2 linked regions of the Cricetulus griseus genome follow. The protein of the gene in region 1 purifies or fractionates together with the protein of each later gene. This does not show direct contact. Links are inferred from orthologs where the notes say so. Each region holds a gene or a part of one and is shown in the gene's direction. Other genes may lie near its edges.

Evidence for each region. Proteins that work in one complex are often made in the same cells at the same time.
Region 2: the proteins of Nphp1 (region 1) and nephrocystin-4 purify together in Homo sapiens (co-immunoprecipitation; 6 studies listed by BioGRID and IntAct, with this or other methods). This does not show direct contact. The link is inferred for Cricetulus griseus from reciprocal best matches to the Homo sapiens genes NPHP1 and NPHP4.

Annotation. Positions count from the first base shown.
Region 1 is NC_048599.1:50,821,459-50,825,599, forward strand, and holds part of Nphp1 (nephrocystin-1), read left to right. Parts: intron 1-470; coding exon 471-513; intron 514-1,186; coding exon 1,187-1,274; intron 1,275-4,141. UniProt on the Homo sapiens protein: Together with BCAR1 it may play a role in the control of epithelial cell polarity. Involved in the organization of apical junctions in kidney cells together with NPHP4 and RPGRIP1L/NPHP8. Does not seem to be strictly required for ciliogenesis.
Region 2 is NC_048595.1:3,880,492-3,885,384, reverse strand, and holds the start of nephrocystin-4, read left to right. Parts: upstream 1-1,875; 5' UTR 1,876-2,087; intron 2,088-2,350; exon of another isoform or gene 2,351-2,475; intron 2,476-4,893. UniProt on the Homo sapiens protein: Involved in the organization of apical junctions; the function is proposed to implicate a NPHP1-4-8 module. Does not seem to be strictly required for ciliogenesis. Required for building functional cilia.

The DNA of each region.
Region 1 (4,141 bases):
CTCAGAAACCATGCTTTTTGATACTGGGTCTCTCTGGGACCTGGGGCTTGCTAATTAGGCTAGGCTGGGTGAACAGTGAGCCCCAGACACCTTCTTGTCTCCACCTCCCCAACTCTGAGATTATAAGGCATAAGCTTGGCTTTCTGTCAGCTCTGGGGGCTTGAACACAGATCTTCACACTTGCATGGCAAGCATTTTAGCAAGTAAACCATCTTCAAAACTTTTGACTCTTTTTTTTACTTTATTTTTACTATCACAAATAATTCAGCACTTTCTTGAAATGGAGGCATGTGTTGCTACTTTAATTTTGTAATGATTTTTTAGGGCATCTAGTCCTAGCTTGGCTTCCTCTGAGAAGATGACTGTTTAGTTTTCAGAACTAATTGATGATGACACACTTTGCTCTGTGACTGCCCAGTTAGAATAGGTGTAACTGGTTCCTCACTGACCTTACTGCTTTGTCTCCCTAGAACCGATTCCCACTGGAGTGCTGTCCGAAAAGCTATCTCAGAGGTTGGTGACTCCTGTCTAGTGCTTTGTGCCTAATAATATTGTTGTGATTGACAAGATACATTGGGTTCAGAGCAGAATAGAGACGGGAGGTCAGCAGAGGTCACAGCAGGTGCAAAGTGCCGAGTGTAAGGCATATCTCCTGCTGGAAAGACATCAGAGTAAGAAATTACCCATAATTCTATCACCCAGAAATTATACAACTAAGTGAAAATCCTTCCTGTCAATCCCATAAACCATCCCCATTAGCAGTGTAGTGAGTCATCTTCCTGACTCTTTACTCTCTTCCTCAGTTACAAGGTCATGCTTGTGTGAGTGGGTGGGCAAATATCCACATACACAGAACATCCACTGACTCTAAAGTGCATAGCCATTGGTTCAGTGGCATGTGCTGTGGAACTGGACAGGAGTGGGGACATTTTGGTGCAGGATGCACTTGAAGCAGCTGGCATAGAACCCAGAGCTCTATACACTAGTCTCCACGAGGGTCAAAGTCATTACAGAGACCGGGGTTCATGATGAGTGTCACCTTCTAGCAATTGGGGGTTACACTGCAATATTTCTTTTGTCTGTGTTTTGTGTTTTCCTCTTTGGGGTTATGGTTGCAATGGTGTTGAAGTCTTACAGAGACAAATAGAGGAATGGAAACAAGTCTATTTCATTTTCCTCTCTTCAGCAGATAAACACTATTGATGTGCTAGCCACAATGGGAGCTATTCCTGCAGGGTTCCGGCCTTCCACGCTCTCCCAGCTGCTAGATGAAGGTAATATGGGACTTTCAGCCTCTGTACTCTTGTAGTTAAGCAGTCAATGCTGAAGTTGAATTTTTCTGTTATTGGCAAAACAAGTTGAAGATACTGAATCTACCCCCACCCCGTGTGTGTGTGTGTGTGTGTGTGTGTGTGTGTGTGTCTGTATGTGTCTGTATGTGTCTGTGTGTGTCTGTGTGTGTCTGTGTATGTGTGTGTTCCTGTGTGTGTTCCTGTGTGTACACATGCTGAGGCCAGTGGTGAACACCATGTACCCTCCTCAATTGTTCCCTACTGTATTTTTTGAGGCAAGGCTGCTCACTCAGTGTGCCTAGACTTGCTAGCCAGCAAGCCCAGGGATCCCCCTTTTTGCCCTCCAGCACAGGGACCACGGGTGTATACCACTGCACTACATCTGGCTCTTGCCTGGGTTCTGAGAGATAGAACTGAGGTCCTTATGCTCACGTGGCAAGTGCTTTACTGACTGAGCTGTCTCCCCAGCCCTGATTCTCACCTTCTTGAGTATTCACCTTTTCCTTGTCCTCTCTGTAGCTTTAAGGGATGCCAGGCTGTGTGTGGTGCTCTGGATTCCAGCCCCTTTCCTTGTTTCACAAACACAATTTCTGCTGTGTGGTTTGAAAGAAAATGGCCCCCAAAGGGAATGACGCTATCAGGAGGTGTGGCTTTGTTGGAGAAAGTATGTCACTGTGGAGCTGGGCTTTGAGGTTTCATATATGCTCAAGCTATGCCCAGTGAGCCAGACTGTTACGATAAGTCTTTACTCCATCCGCCCAAACCCCACCGCCACATGGGCACCCAGAATAACACACAGAGTCTTATATTAGTTTACAGTGCTGCTGGCCAATTGACTAGGATTTCTTATTTGCTAGCTCAGTCTTAATTATCATAAATCTATATATTTTATAAGACTTATCTTATCGAGGACACCTTCCGCTGGCATCTTCTTCCTGGGATCACATAGCAGCTCCTGAGCAGAGAGCAGGAGGAAGAGCAAGAGCAAGAGAGCAATTTCCTGCTTGTATTCTGAGTCTGCCTGCTATGTCACTTCCTGCCTAGATCTTGTTCCTACTTTTCTCAGAATCCTCCTTGACTCCTAGCCCCACCTATCTTGCTTTCTCATTGGCCAACAGTACTTTATTTATCAACCAATAAGACAAACATATACACAGAAGAACCTCCCCCATCATCCCACTCCTAACACCATTTTGTAACGATAAATCTTTATGCCAGTGGCCCAAGCCCCGCTGCCATGTGGACACCCAAAATAACACACAGAGTCGTTTTAATTACAATGCTGTTGGCCAAATGACTAGGATTTCTTATATGGTAGCTCAGTCTTAATTATCATAAATCTATATATTTTATAAGGCTTATCTTATTAAGGATGCCGGCGGAATGCGTCCTGTCTTTCCAAGCTCACATGGTAGCTCCAGAGCAGAGAGCAAGAGGAAAAGGAAGAGAAAGAGGACGATTTCCTTCTTGTCCCTGCTTATATTCTGAGTCTGCCTGCTATGTCACTTCCTGCCTGGATCTCGTTACTACATTTCCCAGAATCCTCCTTGACTCCTAGCCCCACGTATCTTGCTTTCCTATTGGCCAACAGTACTTTATTTATCAACCAATATGACAAACATATATATACAGAAGGACCTCCCCCATTAACAGACCACTTCCTGTTGCCTGCTGGTCAAGATATAGGATGCTTAGCTCCCTCTTCAGCACTGTGTCTTCCTGTGTGCTGCCTTGCTTCCCACCATGATGATAATGGACTAAACCTCTGAAAATGTAAGCCAAATGTTTTTCCTTCATAAGGAAACCCCAAGACAGGTGCCCTTTCCTTTATCTTTAACCAACCCTTCCTAGCCTTCCTCCTATTGGTACATGCCCATTCAATATTAACAGGACACCTAGTCCTGCAGCCTTTAAGGACCAACCCCCAAGCCCCATCCTATTAAGCCCTTCTTTGTAGAAAGACTTGTCTGGAGCATTCTCTACACCTCGTGTTTCTGCTCCCTTGTTTACTTTGGGCTTTCCCAGTGCTTGGCATCTGTCTGTGAGCTTTTGTAAAGAAGAACCATGGTGATAGGTGTCTCATGTGTACCTGAGCTGTTTAGTTATCCTTGGAAGGACTTCTTGAGGTCACCTCTGATGGACTGGCTCTTTCTTGTGTCCTTTCCATCCTTCCCCAGGATGCCTGCCATGGTTGTATTGGTTTCCTCTGCACCCTTGAAACAACTTGAGCACCCTTAAACCTCATGCATAGGCTTTGTTTGTCAGTCCCTCACTCAGCTGTAAGCTAATGAGAGCAGGACATATCTCTCAGGTTCACTATTCTGTTTCTGGCTTTTAACATAGCACTTGGCACAAAGCAGGGGCTCCAAAACTATTTCTTGAGTGAGTAGTGGTTTCTATAATTAACAGTCCAGTTGTAGACATATGATCCCAGCATGTGGGAAGCAGAAGTAAGAGAACCAGAAGTTCAAAGTCATCGTTGGTGGCATAGAGAGTTAGAGACCAGCCTGCTATTTATACAAGACATTGTCTCAAATATTAACTTAAAAATAAAGCTAATTATGTAATGTTTTCCCCAAATCTCTTAAACATGATTACAGATTTCTTCCATTTTACACAAGTATTTGAATGAATTGTCATTATAACCAGGCATGCTTTTTGTCTAAAAATCTTTAGAATTCCCTTAGAGCTGCCTTGAGGTGATCTTTATATATTTATATCTTTTAAGTTTTGTGCCTTATTTTAATATACTAACATATTCTGGTACATCTGCCTTGGAAATTGATTTCTTAGTGAGTTCATGGCTTTTCAGAAATTTTTTGCTAAGTTTGTCATGTAACAGTATGGAT
Region 2 (4,893 bases), on another chromosome or scaffold:
ACAGCCCAGCGCTTTAAGTACCACCAAGGCTGGTGTAGACATGGACAGCTTCCCATGGGGAGGCCGCAGGCTGGACCTGACCAATGGGACCTCCAGAGTCAAGTATACTTGGAGGACTCCACACTGGAAAAGCCCAACGCCAGGGCCCCCGGGGGTTGCACGCCGACACAGAAGTATGAAGCAGTTGGGTGGATGGGACCTTTCACACACACAGGTCCCCAAACCCTGCAATCCTGGGCCGGGGTGTCGCTTCAAGCGCAGAGTAGAAGCTTATTCTTGGCACTGAAGAGAGTTGGGGGTTGGAGTTTTTGAGGGGGAGGAGAAATTGCAAAGAAAGAAGAAACCCAGAAGCGACAGATAGTGGGACAGCTGTGGACTGAACTTGGTGTTCCTGCTCATGTGGATGTATTAATTTCCATAAATGCTAATGGCCCATCTCTCCAACAGCTATTACTTATGTCATCTCCCCTTGGATGTGGTTCAACACAGGGCGGACGAATGGAATGGAGCAAGAGGCAACCCCCACTGGTGGGGCCCTCTTCCAAACGGGCAGCTCAAGTCTGGTGTCTGATGTGGTGGCCCTCATACCTTCCGAGTCCAGACCACCTGCATTTAAGACCGGTCCCTTTCATACCAGTAAGCCAAGAAAGTTACCAACCCCAAAAAACGCTGACTCACAAAGTGTGACTGAACAGTAAGCGAGGGTGGGTCAGAGGGGGATGGCAGCCCGTGGGCAGGCAGCAAAGGGTGCCAGAAGGCATCCTGAAGGAGACCCCAGGACGAGTGCCAGGAGAAGCAAGCAGGGTGTGCCAGACGGGAGGGAGGGAGGGCAGGTGGGCAGGTACACCTTGCTGCAGATACTGCAGCAGGCAAGCAGTGCAGCATTTGGGCTCCGCATCCTGCAGCAGCAGCAGAAGCAGCAGCAATAGCAGCAGGTAGGGAGGTGGGGATGCGCAAGTGCCAGGGCCCGGGCATGCGGGAGAAACTGAGGGTAGGGGTAGAAGTCTAGAAACAGAGGGGACGAGGTGCAACGCAAAATAGAGAGAGCACTGCGGTGGCACAGTAGCGGTCGTGGTGGTGGCGGTGGTGGCGGCGGCGCCGGCGGGGATCGAAGGGGCTGGGAGCAGAATGGGTGGGAAGTTGGGGTCACGACGAAAGGGACACCCGGCAGGCTGCAAGGACGAAGAATGAGTCCAGAGGAGCAACAAGGAGAGGGATGGAGAAGGCAGCTACTAGGAGTGCGCAGAGGCCGGGAGGGAGAGGAGGAGAAGCAGGGAGGCAAGGGCGAGGTGTGGGGATGCGGGGCGGGAGGGGGCAGAGCCGGGGGTGAAGTTTGTGGTTGGGGTCCGGGATGTCGGCTGAAAGGTGGGGCAGGATGACAGGGAAGCAGAGAGGGTGGGGTGGGGGCAGGGAGACTGTGGAGAAGGAGATGGGGAGGCTGGAGAGGAGGTGAGAACCGCGGCGGGGGCAGGGATGCAGGGCTGGGGAAGAGGACATGGAGAGGGACCGCGGTACCCGCGACAGCGCGGCCTCGCAGGTGCCCGCCGGGGTCTCCCGGCTGCACTCACCTGGGGGCCTCCAGCTCCGGATCCCGCGCCCCGCTCCGGATCTTCCTTCCCGCCCTGCCCTTGCGACTTCAGCGGCCCCGAATCCCGCTCGCTCCCGCAGGTTCCGCCCGCAGCATCTTTACCTCGTGGGACGCCCGCGGCCACGCCCCTAGCAGCCAATCATTGGCTGTGACCCACGCCAGTCACCGTCTCATTGGCGGAGGCCCTCGAAGCCCATGCAAATCATGCCGCTCCCGCCGACGCGCCGATTGGCTGGCGCGTGCGGAGTCCGGGTCCTCGGACTCGGGTTCTCATTGGCCCGCGCGGCCTTGACGGAGAGAGTGACCCGAGGCGGGGCCGGTGCCGAGTGCGCGGAGTCCCGCGGGTCAGGCTCCTCGCGTGGGTGGCTGCGGACAGGGCGACCCCCTTGGCCGGCGCCGAACCCACCAGACCTCGGGTTCCGCTGCGCACCGGCCGCCGGATCGCGGGATCCGCGGTGCGGGACGTCTTGGGCGCGTGGATCCGGTGCCCGTCTCCTAGGTAACACGCCAGCGGTGGACCGCACCAAGTGCGGGGGAGGTGTGCGTGTTTTGGAAGCGCGGGTGGCAGCAGAGCCTGGAGAGACCTCAGGGTCCCGGGTGGGAATGTGCATATTGCGTCTCGCTGACGACCCGGTGTTTGCAAGGCACGGCACGGAGCACGGGGCCGGGCCCAGGTCGCGCGGTGTCACCCTCCCCCCCTGCGTCGCCATTGGTGCATCCCGGTTGCCTTCCGAAGTTGGGCGTCGGGGGTCTCCTTCGGTTTGTCCTCCGCTTTCTGACCGGGTTCCCGCCGCAGTCTCGGTGCCGAAACGGATGCGGCGTGCTCGCCAGAGCCTCGAAGATGCCCACGGGCTGGTGTGCGCGCTTCTTTCCCAGCCCTAATACGGGTAGCTCGGCCAGGTTCATGCGGCCCTCTATGCACTGGGAGGCCCCTGGGGCGCAGGGTCTTCTCCCTTTCTTCATTGCTTGGAATTGCAACCTACACTGATGTCCTAGTTCCTGGTGTGCCCAGACTTGCCTTGGTGCGGGGAGACGTACTAGCGATTGGAAATTTGCACTGAAGCCAGCTTTGCGGGTTTACGGAATGGGCAAACTCTCCCTGTCCCAACCCTGGTTTCCTTTTTGTGGCTCAGCCATGCAGCTTCCACGGGCCATAATTCTGCCTTGTGTCCCCCGCTCCCCGCCCCACAACTGCCCTAGCGCTGTCTGGTTCTTGAGTTTGTACTCAGGGATCTTCGAGACTGTTTACTTTAGTCCCGTAGCAGAGGGTGAATGAGGGCATGCATGCCTTAATCAAACTTACAGGTAACCCCCCGCCCCCATGGGGGTAACTCTCAGGTCTTCATTTCTGAGGAGCAGACTTCCCCCAGTCTGGCACCACTATTTGTGGAATTTCAGAATTTCAGCCTCTGGTTTCCTCCCTTGTCACCACCTATATATGAGTCTTGGTCGTGATCTATGCTGTGGGGTGCACCCACTTGTCCCGTGTTTCTCCCTCACTACAGTTAAATATTGTTGGAGACGATTTGTCTCTTTGCCTCTGGAATACACCAGGTGTCTGTCAAACATTTATTGACTGGAAGACCCTAAGACCCCCCCCCCCCCAAGCTGTCATCTTGTAGATTGGAAGCAGGAAGAGAGGGTGAAGACCTTGGCTGAAGTTAAGGAGAAAAAAACTGGCCCTCATCTTTGGACATCTCCGCCCGGAGGGCTCTCAACTACCACCTTCTGGACATCTTGTCCCCCTTGGCTTCCTGAGCGGGAGGAGGAGAGTGGTATGGGTGTGAGTTAGTCCCTATTAGCTGTGAACTCAGCTGTCTGAGCCCGTCTCCTCCTGTATAGGGTGGGCTGTGATGACACTGCCTTCCAGTTGTTGGAGCAGTACATCGGGAGTGTTGTGCCTGACTGAGCTCGGGCTTCAGTAGGAGCTGTCCTGTCTTCTCCTTCATGTCCTTCGTAGAGAGCCCAGGGTCCCTTTCCTTGGGTTGAAAGCATGGAGCGGCCCAGTTTTCTTTCTAATGTTTATTCTTCTTGGTGGCCCTTGTGATCCTTCCTCCAAACCTTTCTGTTACTGGAGTTTGTAGGGTATGAGCCTGGCTCTGGCAACCCCAGGGTGTGATCTTTGCCACCTGTCCCCAGTACACTGGTTAAAGAGACAAATAACCGTGAAAAGAGGAGAAAGGAGATTTATTCAGTTTGGCCACATTGGGAGGAGGAACACATAAATGGTTCTGAACCAGGATTTTTTTTTTTTTTTAATTTTGACCCACCAACCAGCTCCCAAATTATGACATGGAGACTTCTTATTAAGTATGAATGCTTGGCCTAGCTTAGACTCGTTTCTGGCTACCTCTTTTTTAACTTGAATTACCCTGTTTCTTTTCATCTACATTTTGCCTCAGGGTTTTTTACCTTTCTTTCTGTATGCTCTGTTCTGTGTCTGTCTGGTGGCTGGCTGGCTTCTGGCCCCAGGCCTGTCCCTCTTGCCCTTATTTCTCTTCTTTTGAGTGTAGATTTCTCCTTTTACTTAATTCTCTCTGCCTTTCAGCCCCACCTATCCCTCTCCTGCCTAGCTATTGGCCGTTAAGCTTTTTTCTTTTCTCTTTTAGACCAATCAGGTCTAATAAATAGGCAGGGGACCTGTAACAAATGCAACACATTTTACATAATTAAACAAATGCAGCACCAACAAATATGACTCATCTTTCCATCATTAACAAAGGCAGCAGGAACAAACGTAACACATCTCCATAAAGTAATAGCATAAAATAATAGTCCCTCAGGGTGTAAACAAATGTAACACTTTTTTGCCTAGTTAATATTCCACAACAGGGGCTGGCCAGTACCCCCAAGTCCATCTTAGGAATACTAGCATGAAGTTTAGGCACAAACAAGGCGGGAGGTATGCATAACTAAGTAGTCCTGGTCAGGGCGTGGTCACTGACCCATTCCTGTGTCTGCTCCAGTGTCTCCTGCTGGGTGGTCTGACCGGTCGGAACTGAGTGAAGCCTTCCCAAGTTCCTCCTTTCTCTGGCACAAGGCTTTGACCTTCCTTCCTCCCAGCATGGGGATTCCCGGGGAGATTTTACTTCTTTGGGGTTATAAAGTGTCTCTTTAGAACACTTTCTCTGCCATAGAGGTTATATTTCTTTCAGTACTGACAGAGTCTTTCCAAGGACTGGTGCTGACTCAGGGAGCTCACAGTCTCCCAGGACTGCACTGACCACACAGCCCTGGATAATGTTTCTAGAGAGGGCTGCAGGGAGGCGGGCCTTCAGATCTCCAGTGCCAACCTGACAGGCAGT